Kluyveromyces lactis: one gene and its partners. The protein of the gene in region 4 purifies or fractionates together with the protein of the main gene of each other region. This does not show direct contact. Links are inferred from orthologs where the notes say so. Each region holds a gene or a part of one and is shown on either strand. Other genes may lie near its edges. The genes, in order: SCC2, YTA7, MCD1 and STH1.

Evidence for each region.
Region 1: the proteins of STH1 (region 4) and SCC2 purify together in Saccharomyces cerevisiae (affinity purification with mass spectrometry; 3 studies listed by BioGRID, with this or other methods). This does not show direct contact. The link is inferred for Kluyveromyces lactis from reciprocal best matches to the Saccharomyces cerevisiae genes STH1 and SCC2.
Region 2: the proteins of STH1 (region 4) and YTA7 purify together in Saccharomyces cerevisiae (affinity purification with mass spectrometry; 3 studies listed by BioGRID). This does not show direct contact. The link is inferred for Kluyveromyces lactis from reciprocal best matches to the Saccharomyces cerevisiae genes STH1 and YTA7.
Region 3: the proteins of STH1 (region 4) and MCD1 purify together in Saccharomyces cerevisiae (affinity purification with western blotting; 4 studies listed by BioGRID, with this or other methods). This does not show direct contact. The link is inferred for Kluyveromyces lactis from reciprocal best matches to the Saccharomyces cerevisiae genes STH1 and MCD1.

The regions. Positions count from the first base shown.
Region 1 is NC_006040.1:1,532,412-1,536,409, forward strand, and holds the start of SCC2 (cohesin-loading factor complex subunit SCC2), read left to right. Parts: upstream 1-1,170; coding exon 1,171-3,998. Other genes in the region: pseudouridine synthase PUS5, read right to left, coding at 1-816. UniProt on the Saccharomyces cerevisiae protein: Plays a structural role in chromatin and is involved in sister chromatid cohesion. Forms a complex with SCC4 required for the stable association of the cohesin complex with chromatin, which may act by hydrolyzing ATP from SMC1 and SMC3 heads.
Region 2 is NC_006037.1:856,961-861,276, reverse strand, and holds the start of YTA7 (chromatin segregase YTA7), read right to left. Parts: upstream 2,820-4,316; coding exon 1-2,819. Other genes in the region: GOT1 (Got1p), read right to left, coding at 3,188-3,582, 3,771-3,798; KLLA0_A09779g (uncharacterized protein), read left to right, coding at 4,269-4,316. UniProt on the Saccharomyces cerevisiae protein: Functions as an ATP-dependent nucleosome disassembly factor that helps evict canonical histone H3 from the 5'-end of genes upon their induction.
Region 3 is NC_006042.1:1,366,873-1,370,523, reverse strand, and holds MCD1 (kleisin alpha), read right to left. Parts: upstream 2,331-3,651; coding exon 528-2,330; downstream 1-527. Other genes in the region: RQC1 (Rqc1p), read left to right, coding at 1-415; ATP16 (F1F0 ATP synthase subunit delta), read right to left, coding at 3,543-3,651. UniProt on the Saccharomyces cerevisiae protein: Cleavable component of the cohesin complex involved in chromosome cohesion during cell cycle. The cohesin complex is required for the cohesion of sister chromatids after DNA replication.
Region 4 is NC_006042.1:436,825-441,086, reverse strand, and holds the start of STH1 (RSC chromatin remodeling complex ATPase subunit STH1), read left to right. Parts: upstream 1-1,403; coding exon 1,404-4,262. Other genes in the region: RRT14 (Rrt14p), read right to left, coding at 144-749. UniProt on the Saccharomyces cerevisiae protein: Catalytic component of the chromatin structure-remodeling complex (RSC), which is involved in transcription regulation and nucleosome positioning. RSC is responsible for the transfer of a histone octamer from a nucleosome core particle to naked DNA.

The DNA of each region.
Region 1 (3,998 bases), on a different chromosome or scaffold from region 4:
CCAATCTTCCTTCAAAACTCGGGTTATATCTTCATTGAAGTTCCCATTTTGGTCTACAGATTCTCCCCATATCATTCTAAAACCGTCTGGAACGGGAATGATTTGCTCATGTATATTAAAACCAATTTTTGTCCGTATATAAGCTGAATGTAATGCGATTTGAAAGTCACTGTCAAAAACCTTCTTACCACCGTATTTCAAGTCATTATAAATTGGCGAATCAAGAACTTGCTGTGTAAGTTTCCGTATCTGATGCTTCTTCCCAGTTACCAACTGTAAAATTAGGTGTTCATTGTCGACACGCTGAAAATATGTGATTGCACCATTCCACTTTATGAGACCTTCTTTACACTCATTCGCAGTCTTAGATTTTCCAACTTTTGCGACATACTTTCTAGTTAGTGAGAATCCTTTATTCCCGCCATACCTTAGATTTCGACTAAATTGTTGTGCTGACTGTTTGTTTACAGCATATACTATTCCACCGGATACTGGTGTGTCAATCCTGTGGATGGGGTAGTACGATGGTTCATATGTACCGTCCTTCAGGATGCTTCCACTAGAGCTTTGAACAATATCCAATAACACTGGGGGATCATAGTCGTGAGTATTGTACCACGTTCGTTTGTCAGGTAATTGAGAAAGGGCCAAGGGTGGCTTATTAAAAATTACGTGGTGCTTGTCACGCCAGAGCTCTTGTACTTTTAAAGGGAATTCCACTTCACAATGTGTAGCCTTAGCGTTTGTCGACTCCGGGGAGACGATTTTAAAGATCTTCACGAAAGGGGGTTGTTTTATGAAGCCTCTACGTAGCATATCAATTAGTACTATGATTTAAGCAATGCAGATGTACAGGAACTAACGGTTTTCTCCTCTCAGCTACATTCATGACTACTTATGCTTCCCTCATCATTCTCATGATATTTTTCTCAAAACTGCAGCAGCCTTTTTCAAATCAAGAAAGCCGAATAGATATATAAATAATTAATGAGACGAATACTAGATCTCTACAGCAATGAACGGTCAAACGATTTCATCAAGTTGAAAGAAGCAACAGCAGATAGTTTACACCCGGAAGCTCTATTTCATCTGCTTTTCTCTGGGCATTATCATCTTCTTCAAATAATACTGCCTTTCCAGTAATATTCTGATTACTGAGCAGTGGCGGCTATGGCGAAAGGGTTTCCAGGCGAAACTGACAATGAGATTCCCAAACGCATCTCTGAAACACTGAAGTACCAGCCAATTAACCACATAGTACCGAAGTCAGGGCTATCTAATTTGCTGAGTTCTTCAATAACCGAAGATATCAGTATTTCATGTAACAGTGCGTTCGGTTCACCCCCATCTGAACATTGGCTATACCCTCACCCTATCGATTTCGACCCATTTAACGAAGGCGACAGGGACCCCATTTTATTCAGGAGACCCAATAATATTACTTTAAGAGATGAGTCTCAAGAAACTGCTCCTGATCTGAAGCTTCTGAAAAATCTTCCACAGCTAGGAATCAGGTGCCTGACTGTTACAAGCCTGGTCGATTCTGCTAGTATTGTTGCGAATGTTGCTGGAAATCAGAACACAGCTACTAAAAAAAGAAGGCTAGAAGCAGGGGAAGACAAGGTATTGCTGAATGAGCTGGATTCCAAACGGATTCAAATTTGTGTACAATCTAATCCGATGAATGACTTGGAAGTTGGAAAACTTTGTCTTGATCATCTTTCGAAATTGTTAGATTCTGTCGGACTCAATTCTGAAGGGAGTGTTAATGAAAACGCTAAATTCTGGAAGCCATTAGGTGATGTTTACGTTGCTACTTCGGAGGCTATAGATGCAATATCGTTGACGATAAATAAAGTTCTAGGATTTCCGATGGTATTTGAGTATATTGATGTTCAATCTCTTAAAAAAATACTGGGTCTTTGCACTAGAAATATCAAAAGAATCCTAGCATATCAATCAGACAATGAATCTGAGTCCTTAGATCTGAATAACCTTACGTTTGGTTGCGCATTTTTAATTCTTGAAGTTATGATGATAGATCTCAAATCCGCAAACCTTCAGTTAGAAGAATATTACAATGCTGTGTTCTCAGCGCTTGATAATGCGCTCGAGAAGTTACATGTTTCGGACAACTCAAGAGGTATTAATGCAGATATTGGAAATATATTCTTATTCATCAATTTATTGGAAAAGTTTGTCGCCTCTCAATCATACTTGGACGAAATGTTTTTGATCAAATCAGTGTGCATTTGCTGTGATATGCTACTACACAGATGCTATCAACACTTAAACACTAATGTGCTTTTATCGCAAGCGGAGCGGATAAAAGACCTTTCTCTTGGAATATTAATATCACTTTTTTCTGAGTATCCATCTCAGCGGCTATTTATTACGGAAGAATTATTATCACACGTGCATGATATAGTAGTCTCAAAATCCACTAAAAAACTGAAATTGGTCGATGAATTTGAGAATGGCTACGCATCGTATTTTACTGTCGCCCTTGTTGCCATGTTCCAGTCAATAAATGCTTTGCCTGATGCTGAGCTATTGTCAGATTTTACGTCTGAATTGCTTGAAAATGTACTGTCCGAGAATAATGCCGCAAGTTTGGAATTGAAAGGACTAATCGATAACGTCACAACAACTTTATTCGAAGGATTGATTACGAATCCTTTCAAATTCAAATCAATTGTGGAGATTTACATCCAAGATTTGCTAACTATGATAGGAAACCCGAAATGGGCGTATTCTCATCATTTATTAGAAGCTTTTTTGCCGAAATTGTTTCAGATATTCAGCCCTACGTATCAAGGAACAGGAAACTTCGAAGTGCTTGCTATTCAACTTGTCGGCCAAATTACTGCCACTTTGACAGACGTTAAACTGAGGGCTGCATCCGAGGAAAGTAGGGATGTAAAAAGGATATTTAATTTGCAAAATGAGTACAAAGAGTGTTTCGATTGGTTGGGTTCGCAGACCAAGACATATTTTTCCGATAGAGCATTGTGGAATGAATCACTTTTTTATATCAGTGAGATGTTAGATCAGAAGGAGATAGACAAAACAGACGCACAGGTAATGAATTTTGTTATACGTATAATAGCAAAAGAAATAAGGGAGACAGAAATAAGCGAGAAAGAAATAAGCGAGAAAGAAATAAATAATGGTATCGATGGTAATGAAAGAGTTCGGTCCCTTTACATGAAAATTGTTTCACTTAGTCCGTTGTTTAACTTTTATGAACCCGCTTTGAGGCTCATTCTTTCGTTATTGGATCAACAAAAAGTAAAACTTAAATCAGGAGCAGTTAAATGTTTGACCCTATTAGTATCAAAGGATCCTCAGATGTTAGATACTCCTTTTGTTCAGGAAACCATAAAAAACAGACTCTATGACTCTTCGGCTTCCGTTAGAGATGCAATTTTGGATCTTCTAGAGCAGGCCACAACCTACATTCAATTCTACCGAGAAATAAACTGTAACTTTGACGATGACAGTATAGCAGTTCGAAAACATGTTATGCGGATGAATGAAAAGATTCTTGATACAAGTTCCGACCTGAAAATAAAGACATTCGTTTTAGAAAAAGTCTTGAGACGAATTGAGGATGAAGAGGATGTTATCGTGGAAAATGCCAGGAAACTATTACTTCATAGACTAATTTTGAGACATAGTGCATCTGACTTGTCCGTAAAACTGCATAGATTTGATTTATCAGAAACCCTCGAGCTATTATCAACACTCATCGGTTATGGTGGCAAGACTGAGGAACTGTTGGAGTTCTTCTTTCATTTTTTCGTATTGAACCCCTCCATTCATAAGAATGAAGATACGAAGTCGATATTTGATGCTTTAAGAAATCTTGTTAATGTACTTATTGAAGAGATTACTGAGAATGCAGCATCTGCAGACGAACTGAGTGAATCGAATGCAAGAAATAGATATGACCTACTTTATTTTTTTGCCAATTGTCCGATCAATTTCATATCAAA
Region 2 (4,316 bases), on a different chromosome or scaffold from region 4:
TTCTCCTCTTCTGTTAAAAGTCTGCCATTCTCATCTATTTCCTGTGAGGTTTCGACGACAGGTAATTTTGGAAGTGGCTTCTTCCTTTTCCTCGATTCAATGTATTGAGTCGGTTTCATCTTAATAAGATCAGCTACGGTTTTGAAATACATAAACCTTTGATGAGGGGAGGGTTCGTTAATGTTCACTATGTTGGGCCCAAAGGAAAACATTGCAAGTGGACCGTCCTCAATTTCAGCGCGAGATAAGCCGTCAGCGATAGCTAGTAAAACCACGTTTTCATTACTCTGCAATGATCTGAAAAGAGTGGTTAAAGTGATGAGACAACTTTGGGGACAGGCTTGGAGCCATAATTCTAAGTTTGGTATGCAAATTACAGAGGGTTGACGCTTCTTAGCCTCCGCGAATGTTTGTACAAGTGCTGCTTCCATCGTTCTACTACTCTCCGATACCAAGGTAGGAATGTCAAGCATTTGAATATTGTAATCTTCCAAAAAGTGTAGTGTGGCGGAAGCGATATATTGTAACCCGTTACCGGGCGGGCCTGTGATCAAAAGTTTCGGTTTGCAGACACGAGATTTCTTGATAAGTTTTAAAAATTCATGCTTATCGAATCCAGTACCTTCTTCGTCATCAGAATCCTCAAGATCCTCATTTTCTAAGTAATATTGAATAATGGAGGAACCCGATTTCAATTTTGTGCTTTGCTTGGGTAGTAGTAAGTTGAGCTGATCCTTGACGTTAATAAATTGTTGAGCGAGGAGCGGTTCAACATATTTTGGTAAAGGCTGCGCTGTAGAGCCAGTAGCTCTAGCAGATGATGGTACAATCTTTTCTAGTGCAAGCATGAAGTCTCTAGCCTTGACTCTAACTGATTTAGGATCAATCTTTAGCTTTTCTTCACTTTTATAGATTTGTGGAAACTTTCTTTGGATACTGATCAAAGATGCTTCTGTACAAAGTGCTCTTAAGTCAGCACCACCGTATCCTTTAGTTAAGGAGGCTAGCTTTGAAATAAATTGATCTGAAATAGGTGGATTCCATTTCTTGGTGTGAATATGCAAAATTTTATCTCTAGCCTTCAAGTCTGGTAGAGGGAAATAGAACTCACGGTCAAATCTACCTGGTCTTCTTAAAGCAGGATCCACTGCATCTGGTCTATTCGTAGCACCGATTATAATAATCTGACCTCTATTATCCATACCATCCATCAATGCCAACATTGTCGACACGATACTGGCATGGATTTGTTCCTGTTTGGAAGATCTAACTGGAGCCAACCCATCAATTTCATCAAAGAAAATGATTGCCGGTTGATGTTTCTTTGCTTCTTCAAACAATAACCTTAATTGTCTTTCAGCTTCACCAACCCATTTGGAAAGAATGTCAGCACCCTTCCTCATGAAGAAAGTGATCTTTCTCTTCTCATTTGAGCAACTTGCGGCCAATGCTCTAGCCATCAAAGTCTTACCTGTACCTGGTGGGCCATGGAACAAGACACCACGAGGTGGAGTAATATTGAAGTTTTGATAAAGTTCTGGGTACAACAATGGCAATGCCACCATCTCCTTTAATTGGTCAATGTAGTTATCTAGACCACCGACATCATCAAAATTAATGTTCATATCGACACCAAGTGGGTCCAAATCTGCAATTTCCGGTTTCTTTTTCTTCTTTTGTTTTGATGGATCCTTTGGTTTCGGTTTCATACCCAAAGCTAAGATTTCGTCATCGGATGAATCAGAATCCAAAAATTTGTTTGACTGTTCGTTTAGAGCGTTTGGATTAGAGTTGTAGAATTGAACGTTTTTACCAAATATCGCCGTAACATCGTTTCCACCAAATGGACCACCGGTAGGGAATAACCTTCTAATAGGTCCAAAACTTTGACCCGAATGTAAACCACGTTTACCTCTTGGGGACTGATAAACGGATGATTGGTATGGAAGTGTTCCTGGAGGTATTCCTGGCACCGAAGTAGCTTCCATAGCACCAATTTGATTTTCAGACAAAGGTGGTGGGATCGTGTAATTTACTGGTTTTGTACGTTCTCTCAAAGACCTTTTCTCTCTGATAGGACTGTCCTCCTGTAATTCTCTAATTTCGTCCTCAAGTGTAAGCGCTTCTCTAGTACGTGCACTTGCCGATCTATGACGACCGCTACCTACCGTATCATCGTCGTCTTCATCGTCATCTACAACACGAGACGATCTGGTTCTATGCGGCCTTAACTTCCGAGGAGGCTGTTCCCTACGCGTACTTCTTGCTGCAGACCGTTTTGGTCTTCTTCCACGTCTCACAGTACCATCGTCATCCTCTTCATCCTCATCTCCATCATCTTCATCTTCATCCAGATCCTCTTCCTTGATACTATAATCTTCATTCCCATCAGATCCATCCTCATCGTCCTTGACAATGAAATTTTTATCTCTTCTTCTCGCTATCCGTTTGCGATCATCTGCTGGGTCGATATACTCATCGCCGTCATCAACATCGTCGTCGTCATCGTCATCATCGTCTACATCTTCCTCGTGGAACGAAACGTCATCATCGTCGTCATCATCACGAACCCTCTTGTTCCTCTGACCGGGACGCCTACCACGACGCCTACCAGTACCGGTATCTGAATAGTTAGCACCAACGGCGGCTGTTCCTCCAGAATTCGTATCAGATTCCTCGATATAATCGTAACCATTCTCAATCTCTGCGTAGTTAACTTTTTTCAGCAGCCTCGGTGTGGTATGAGCAATCCCATTATCATCGTAAAACTCAGTATGAGTGCCAGATTCATCGTCACCGCTCTTGCTATGGAGCGTCATTTTGATTCCTTTGATCTAAACTTCTAAAAGGCTTTTCTTATTTTGCAGTTTCGGAACTGTAGAAATCAAAAAGAATGCGACAGAGACACACAAAATTCACCCCACAAAGTCTCTGATTTAATGAATAACAATCGAACCTAACCCAATTGGCTTGTCTAATGGCCCAAAACGCCAATTTGATCCTTAAAAGCTGTGTTTAATGCCGTATATTATCGTTATAAATCTCTGAACACAACTTAAACTGGTTCTGGGAGCTTTTTGGTTTTGTTTATTTAGAGGTATATTCAGGTAGGGTAATCGACATATTTTGGACAGGGTAACCATTCCCGAATACAGCTCATATATATATAGATACACACACTCACACATCACACAGGAAGCACTGACACACCAGCTATACGGTCTAGGACTGGTGCAATGGTAGGGTGAGACAGTACTGGTCCGATTATAGGAATGGACCTCAGCAATTGGAGGATCACGCCGAAAAAGTCGCCGAATAGACCGACTATACCTAACGATTCGATGATGAACCCAAGGAACGTCCACTTACATAAGATCATGAATATCCCAAACACGAGAAACAAGGTCCCACGTCTCTTTGTCGGTCTAGTGAAGAATTTGAGAGTCTTGTGTGGGCCTATCATCAGCAGCACGCCGAGTAGGAACAAGATGTTCCCAACAGCCAATAGTGCTCTATCGAAGAAGGTGAAGATACCAAAAAGGAAGAACAAACATCCACCGAACGTGAACACAGCACCGAATTCTGGGGAGATAAGTGGGATTTCAAGATTTTGGCAAGTACTGTAACAAAAGTGAGATAGAAAGACGGATTGAACAATCCGTCTTTCTATTTCCCTTATGTTCGCATGAGTTTACTGGCCGATCTCAAATAACAAATGTTAGTAAAGGGAAACCAAAAATAATAGTAAACGCATACATGGTTTAACATACGCTGTGACTCCGATAGCCAACTACTCATTGTTATGTGCTATTGTTGCGTGTATATCAAATACTATGAGCATATATAGAGAGGCAAACAGTGCCTATCTTGATGCGTTAATGTGCACATATTTACTGCGCTCGTCCAGAAGCCCATCGCTTTTCGCGATTGGGCTTCTGGACTGAAAAGACGTGAAGTGTTACCCGGTCATTGTGTTTTCCGGGTAACGAAAATCGTTCGAGGCTTTGAATCAGCAAATTTACCGGCCGTTGCTATTAAGTCCAATGGTTTATACCCTTGAAGCCACCATTACTATACACCATTTAGGGTTCCTTTTTCCACCTTAGAGCCGTGGATTTGCATGTTATTGCGTGGATATGATGGTTCACTCATCTGCTAGACGAGTCATGGATATATAAGACACGCATAAGCCAGATGTCTAACTAGATGCATGGAAGAAAGGTTGGAAGGAGCCGTTGGCTGTTAGGCACGTGACCCAACATTCTATAATGGCAGCGTCAGTTAAACAATCAGGTATTCTTCCGTCGTATGACGAA
Region 3 (3,651 bases), about 930 kb from region 4:
AGCAAGCATTTTTAATTCCACTTCGTTTGACACTGATGCAGTGAAGGATATAAATGATGGCGATGATGATGACGACGTGGCGCCAACATCATTCTTCATCAATAACATTCCAATTAATTTGTTAAGGTTTGCTATTCTTTCTCAAGAGTCATCCGTTATGGCTGCTATTCCCGAAGAAATTTGGTCAGATCATTCTGTGTTTGAATTCGATGTACTACCACCACAACCACATGATAGAGAAAGTGAGTATGTAGTAGAAACAATCGAAGGACTAATTGATAGTAAACATCTAGAAATATCCCAAATGAACAGGTTCGCTGATGAGGAGCTTTTACAACACATTAACCAGTTATCAATACAAGAATACTTGGAGCAGCAGCAACAACAGCAACAACCAAATGAAGAAATCGAATAGCACAACAACTTGAACTGATCTGCCGTCATGTATATTTAAACCAACTTAAAAAAACAGATATTATTAATTATTTATACATAATGTCCGTTATAAAAGTATCCAAATTAAAAGTCTATGCGGTAACAAACGTCTCATATAAGTTTGATTTTCCTAAAATTGTGATTTGTCCAAATGTTTCCTTCTGTTTCAATGATATACAGTCTGCGGTGGCAAGAGAAAGTAACTCAAAGAATGCTTTACTGGCCATTCTTTTTGTTATTACCGCGTTATCCTGGTACTTCGAAGTAAGGATTTTATCAAAAGTAGCTTCACCGGAGCTCATTTCATCTCTCAGTAGAGTTGCCATTTCCACTGTAGATTTAGACACGATTTCACCGGTAGCAAGCTCTACTTTTTGACTTTTTTCCTTTTCAATTGACCCACGAGAGGCAAATTCGTCTGATTGAATGGCTTGGTAATCATTTTCTTCCATGGATGTATCAGCTGCAAGAACTGGAGGTTCATCATCAGCAAACACTGGTCCTTCTGATTCTGCATCAAAGCCCATTTGTTGGTGATCGAATGGATCAGAATTGTGTACCAAACTTCCATCGATACCCAAAGAGATATCTATATCAACATCGGACCCATCAGATTGGCTGGATTGTGACAGAGCTCTAGGCTTCTTTGAAGCTTTATGGTTGAAGAAATTAGATATAATCTTTTGAGGAAGGAAGTCCAGGTCAGAGTATAATTCATCGATGGCTCTTTTTTTCTTTGATATAGCGGACGAAGTCTCATCAGAAACGATAAGAATTGAGTCCGATGGTCCTCCTTTCACTTCAGAATCGTTTAATTCGGCATCAGCATCTATGAGAACCTTCTTAACATTGATAAAGGCTTTATTCCTTGGTGCCCTCTTCTTTACTGCTCTAGGTGGTATGTATGCCTCTGCTTGCTCTTGATGCTCTGGTTCTGTGTCCTTTGGCAGCCCTAGATCAAAGTCTAAGAGTGTATCATCATGCAATGAGTGAGTAATATCAGCCCTTCTCCCGATCTCTACAGACATGTCGCTACCATGGCTAGACTGATTACCAGAAATATTCTGATCATCATCGTTTAATCCCAAATCCCAATCATCGTTAAGTGGTAGCAATTCATCATCATCGTCATTGTCATTTCTAATAGTCAAATCACCTTCATTTTCTCCATCATCCGCGTTTACTTCACTAGCAGTAACACGAGTCCCTTCACCCCATGATTTAGTGTTATTGCTTTGATTAGAATCACCAAGGTCAAAATCTAATTTCAAATGAGATGAATCGTGATGTTCAATAGCATTCAAGTCATCATCTTCATCTGCCAGGAATCGCCTTCCAACTTCTAAGGACATATCCCATGCTTGTTGTTGTGCTGCAATGGCGGATGTTACAGGTGCTGCTCCTTGCACTTGTCTTTCCATTGATCGTTCAGCGATCAAAAAACCTTCTGGCACTTGGATATCTTTCAAGAAATCCAAACTGGGCATCTCCAAGACGTCAAGTTCTGTAACCGCATCTTGCAATAAAAGCTGATCTAACTTTGCCACTGTATCTAGCTGAATTGTGACGCTCTTGTTCAGCGATCCCTTGAAGATAGATTTCACTTTACTCAGTAAGTCTGTGATATCAGTAAGCAGATAGGATGCTTTTTGAGAATAAACTTTTACAACACCATGTAGTAACTCACCGGAAGCACGTAATGTGATAGGTTCCACAGATTCATCATCTAGATTAACACCTGCAGCTTTGGCAATCTCTTCAACAGATTCCACGATATTAGTCTTTGCAATGTTCCGATTGATGCTACTCAAATTGGAAGCCAGCCAGATCTGAGCCAACGGCCCATTGCTTGTATTTAATCTCACCTGAGTATGTGAATTGCTATTTGGTGGCATATACGTTGTTTATTTTTGGATTAGGTGATATAAGGCTCGTGGTTCCTGTTGCAAATGGTATAGCAAATGGATATAAACTTAAGATCGAGATTAGAACTTGATCTTATAAGGAATGGTTAGCAAAATAAAAATGAAATAAAATAGCACTGTGTCTTTTTTCAGAGGTCACGACATTAAAATTCCATAGGTAATATATATATTTGATAAAATTATTGGTAAAGGTGCAATCAATATGATGGAATAGACATACTTCTCATCCAGTGTTTATCAATGATATTTGTTAAAGGATTGCTGGTTATAGATCTCATCACGGAAACGCGTTATGGAGAAAAATCGCGAAAATATTTTTGGGGGAAAACAATGTCTTTTTCTGGGACCTCAAAAGATTTCCCGCCGGAAAAATTTCGATTTCGTGGTATAAAATCCGGGTAACAAGTGAGGACCTTATACCCATTTATTACCCTGCCTTTCTAACTCTTGTTGATGCCAAAACCAGATCATCTCTCTCAGTATGCGCAGTCAGTTTAATCGGTATATATGAATATGAATCTTAAAACTAGACATCAGTTACACACAAATCGTTTCTGCTAAAAAATATAAAATCTAAGTCTTTCAATTCGGTTCTTAATTGATAATATTTTTAACGGGGATAGACAAATTATAATCGATCCAGTGTTTTCTTTGATATTGTTAGAAAGGAAGGAATAGTATATTGAAGAAAGATTTATGTTTGTTGGTCATTAAAACAAAGACTAGAACCCCCTTTTGAAACGGAATCGAGACATCACTTGTATCAACCTCCATATCATTTAGAATTTTTAGGTTTTATCGTATTTATTTCTTCTGATTTCTTTTAATTCGCTGGGTTTTAATTCGTTGTATATTTTAGTAATAGTCGTTTTAGGTTAATTCTCAATAGTTCCCAGTCTTATTCGTACGTTCACACTACAGTATTGTATGGAAAGAAAGGACAATGACCGGAGCAACAAAAAAGGGTCTTTAGGCTAAATCATGAAATGTATTCGTCGTTGTGTTGTGTAAGCTTGTGCAATGGAATAATAGGAATTAGAATAATGAAAAAAAAGCAGACGAAGGATAATACAAACGCCGAGACAGGTTTACAATCAACCGGGAAAACAATTGCTTCCAAGTAGAGTATCCGTATCAAGTGTATTATACCTTGGTCCAATTGTAATTCTTCGTTCATCTCAATTATTTCAAAGCGGCTTGCAAAGCTTCCAAAACTTCAAGTTGGATAGCAGCTTCGGCAGCAGCAACTTCGTCAGCAGAGGAGACGTTCTTTTGAGCTTCAGCCAACAGA
Region 4 (4,262 bases):
TGAATATACTTAATTAATATATATGAACCGACAATGAACACTTGAGTCTACTGAGTATTTGATCATATGCTGAGAGAAAAAAACACACCTTTGTATGAGCCGCAATGAAAACTCCGTACCTGTACGTCTTTGTAAATATGAGCTCAATAATCTTCATCTTCGTCTTCTGATTCCTCCTCATCGCTCGCACCAACTGGAGCCAATCCAGGTGTGAGAGCTTTATATCTGTGGTCTTGTATCGATTGTGGTAGCTTCTCCTTGAACTGTTTCTTCTTTTGTCTCCTAGATTTTACCTTCCTTACCTTCTTTGAATCTTCTGAGTTGGCAAGTATTTGTTTCTGTAAATCTAACAGTTCTTCCTTATCGTCATAATCCCAACTTTTCAGGTTGCGAACATTTTTCTTCACCACTTTATCCAAATAGGATTTCTCATGATCCGTAAGAGAATTATCTACTTGATGCTTTCTTAGTACTTGTAGCTTAGCCTTCTGTTCTATATCCTCTTGGACTTCTTTTCTTCCAGATATCTTCTTTCTCAACATTTTCTTCTCCCTCTTTTTGATCCGGTATACATCCTTTTCTTGTACCTCTACTCTTTTCTTCAAGTTCCTATCTATTAGTTGTGCTTTCGAGCCTTTGTCTCGGCTTGTTTTCTTTCTTTCTGCATTAACCGACGCAGAACCCGGCAGTACGCTTTGCAACAATGCGTTCACAGCGTTGGTAGCATGAGCAGCTGCAAGAGATGACATTATAATCAGAGAATTTTAGTTCTTCAAACCTTGATTGTCAATACAGAAGACACTTTTGTAACAGTTCGAAGCACTGTAACTATCTCAATCGGGGAACTTGATAGTTCACTCTCATCACATCTCATCTAATCTCATCTCATCTCATCCATGGCGTATTATCCAAATTTTCATTTTAGGTCATGAAATATTAAACAAGAAAAGAAACAATGGTGCCCACTTTAATGCGAATATTTTGGCACGTGATCGAAGTTGGTTTATTACCCGGTTCTTGTTGTTGTTACCCGTACTTTGGCCCATGGCAATAGTGAATGTCAAAGAAAAAAGTAAACACGATAAATAAAATTGTGAAAAAGAGGATGAATTTGAAAACAGTTTGATTTTATTCTGAATTTAGTTTTGACACGAGAAAAGGACGAACAGAGGTTTGTTTTCAACACGGCAACGGCGGCTAAAAAAATAGACGCACCGAAAGCGAAACAGTAAAGAATTCTAGGGCAATAGTACCTGTTTGTATCGCGTTAGCTTTGTGACAACTCTGAATTTTTTTAGCAGGACTTCAGTTATTGTTTTACCCCCTTTCAGAATAAAAAAGGTTTAAAGCTCACTAGCGGGAAGAGACCTGGATCACGTTAAGAAGTGTGAAATAAAACAACAATGGATCAAGTCGTCGTAACGAATAACGCGGATACAGCGCCTCCTTATCCGCTTCCTATAGTGAATTCTGAGAATGTTGATAATGGGAATTCCGAAACTGAAAACCAGGACGTTAACGGCAATATCGAAGACAACCATGTTGGTGCTGACAAAGGAAGCAACAACAATTTTCGGAACGACAGTGGTAGTGCTATTGGACAGAACCAGATTGCCGCTGTTCTAGAAGAAATGAAGAAGGTGGAAAGAGTAATCTTGCCACTACCTGAAACGAAAGAACAATTAGAAAATTTGATTTATCGTTACAGATACATTTCTCAATATAGAGATCATAATAAGCTTGAAGTTGAGGCTATTGAACAAATTTTCACCCAAATCTCGGATAAACAGGAAGAGTACAAGGAAAGGCTGCTGAGGTTAAGAGAAAACGCAGCCAAAGATATTCAGTGGGACGAAAAGTTGTTGAAGGAGCAAATGGTAAGCTTACAGCTTTTGAGTAAAGATATAAATATACCGGATGGCCTCTTAGAGGATGATGATGATGAATCAGTAAGTTCCGACAGTTCTGATATCTCGGTACAACTGGAGAAGGTTAAACTTTCTGTTGATTTCGACGAAACAAGTGTGCGCTTAGGCCTTCCCGAAGCTTTAAGCAACTTTCGTCTTAAATCTGGAAATGAAGCCTCGCTTGGAGATTGGGAGGTTGAAAAAATAATCTCCACACTCATTGCGAAAAGAATTAAACAACTTGAAAATCTACCCTCTAATTTGGGAACATATTCTTTAAATGATGCGCTTGATTTTGTAACTAAAGATGATATTCCTACCGGCGCAGACGACTTCAAGTTAAGAGCTTTGGTGGAGCTCAAGTCCTTGAAAATGCTAACGAAACAGAAATCTTTGAGAAAGAGGCTGATTGAAAGTGTTGCAGCTAAATCGCATAATATCATTCCATCTCTCCGTGACTCTCCTTATACTTTAGCAGCTCAAAGATCCATTCATGTTAGACCGAAGACCATCGTTCCACAAACTGCTAGATTAGCAGAAGAACTTGAAAGGCAGGAATTGGTAGAAAGCAGGAGAAGAGAAAGAAACTTACGGTTACAAAGGATCAATAATATTGTATCAAGTATCAACGAAAGATTGGAGAATGATACAACACAACGTGATCGCTGTTATCAAATGGGTAGATCTATCGGAAACTTGCATGGTCATTTGGAGAAAGATGAGCAGAGAAGAATGGAAAGAACTGCCAAGCAACGTTTAGCAGCCTTGAAGTCCAATGATGAAGAAGCATATTTGAAATTGTTAGACCAAACCAAAGATACAAGAATTACACATCTATTGAAACAAACTAATTCTTTCTTGGATTCTCTTGCTCAAGCGGTTAGAGTGCAGCAAAATGAGGTACGCATCAAAAGGGGTGAAGAAATTCCTCCAATCACGGATGAAGAAAGAGAAAAAATTGATTATTACGAGGTTTCCCACAGAATTAAGGAAACAGTAGACAAACAGCCAAGCATATTGGTTGGAGGCACGTTGAAAGAGTATCAACTAAAGGGTTTAGAGTGGATGGTGTCTCTATACAATAATCATCTTAACGGTATTCTCGCAGATGAAATGGGTCTAGGTAAAACAATTCAATCCATCTCGTTGATCAGTTATCTTTATGAAATAAAGAACGAGAGGCAACCATTTTTGGTGATTGTCCCTTTATCCACCATCACGAACTGGACTATAGAATTCGAAAAATGGGCACCTTCTCTAAGAACCATTGTGTACAAAGGGAACCCAAACCAACGTAAGGCTTTGCAACATACAATCAAAATGGGAAATTTCGACGTGGTTCTAACTACTTATGAGTACATTATAAAGGATCGTCCACTGTTGGCCAAACACGATTGGGCTCATATGATTATCGATGAAGGTCATAGAATGAAAAACGCTCAATCAAAACTATCTTACACGTTGACACATTACTACAAAACAAAAAATAGGCTAATTTTAACGGGTACTCCATTGCAAAATAATCTACCAGAATTGTGGGCTCTATTAAATTTTGTTTTACCTAAGATCTTTAATTCCTCAAAAACATTTGACGAATGGTTTAATACACCATTCGCGAACACAGGTACTCAAGAAAAGCTAGAAATGACAGAAGAAGAAACGCTTCTAGTTATTAGAAGATTGCACAAAGTTTTACGTCCATTTTTGTTACGTCGTTTGAAGAAGGAAGTCGAAAAAGATTTACCTGACAAAGTTGAGAAGGTTGTGAAATGTAAGCTATCAAGTCTCCAGCAGCAACTATACGAACAAATGTTAAAACATAATGCTTTCTTTATTGGTGCAGGAACAGAAGGTGCAACCAAGGCTGGTATCAAAGGTTTGAACAACAAGGTCATGCAGTTAAGGAAGATATGTAATCATCCATTCGTTTTCGATGAGGTTGAAAATGTTATCAACCCAACGAGAGAGAACAGCTCCATTTTGTATCGTGTTAGTGGTAAATTTGAACTTCTAGACCGAGTTCTTCCAAAATTTAAAGCGTCAGGTCATAGAGTATTGATGTTTTTCCAGATGACTCAAGTTATGGATATCATGGAAGATTTCTTAAGGATGCGAGACCTTAAATATATGAGATTGGATGGTGGTACCAAAGCAGAGGATAGAACTGGAATGTTAAAACTGTTTAATGCACCCGATTCTGAGTACTTCTGCTTTTTACTTTCTACCAGAGCTGGTGGGTTAGGTCTAAATTTGCAGACTGCTGATACGGTCATTATTTTCGATACTGATTGGAATCCTCATCAGGATTTACAAGCCCAAGATAGAGCTCACAGAATTGGGCAGAAGAACGAAGTT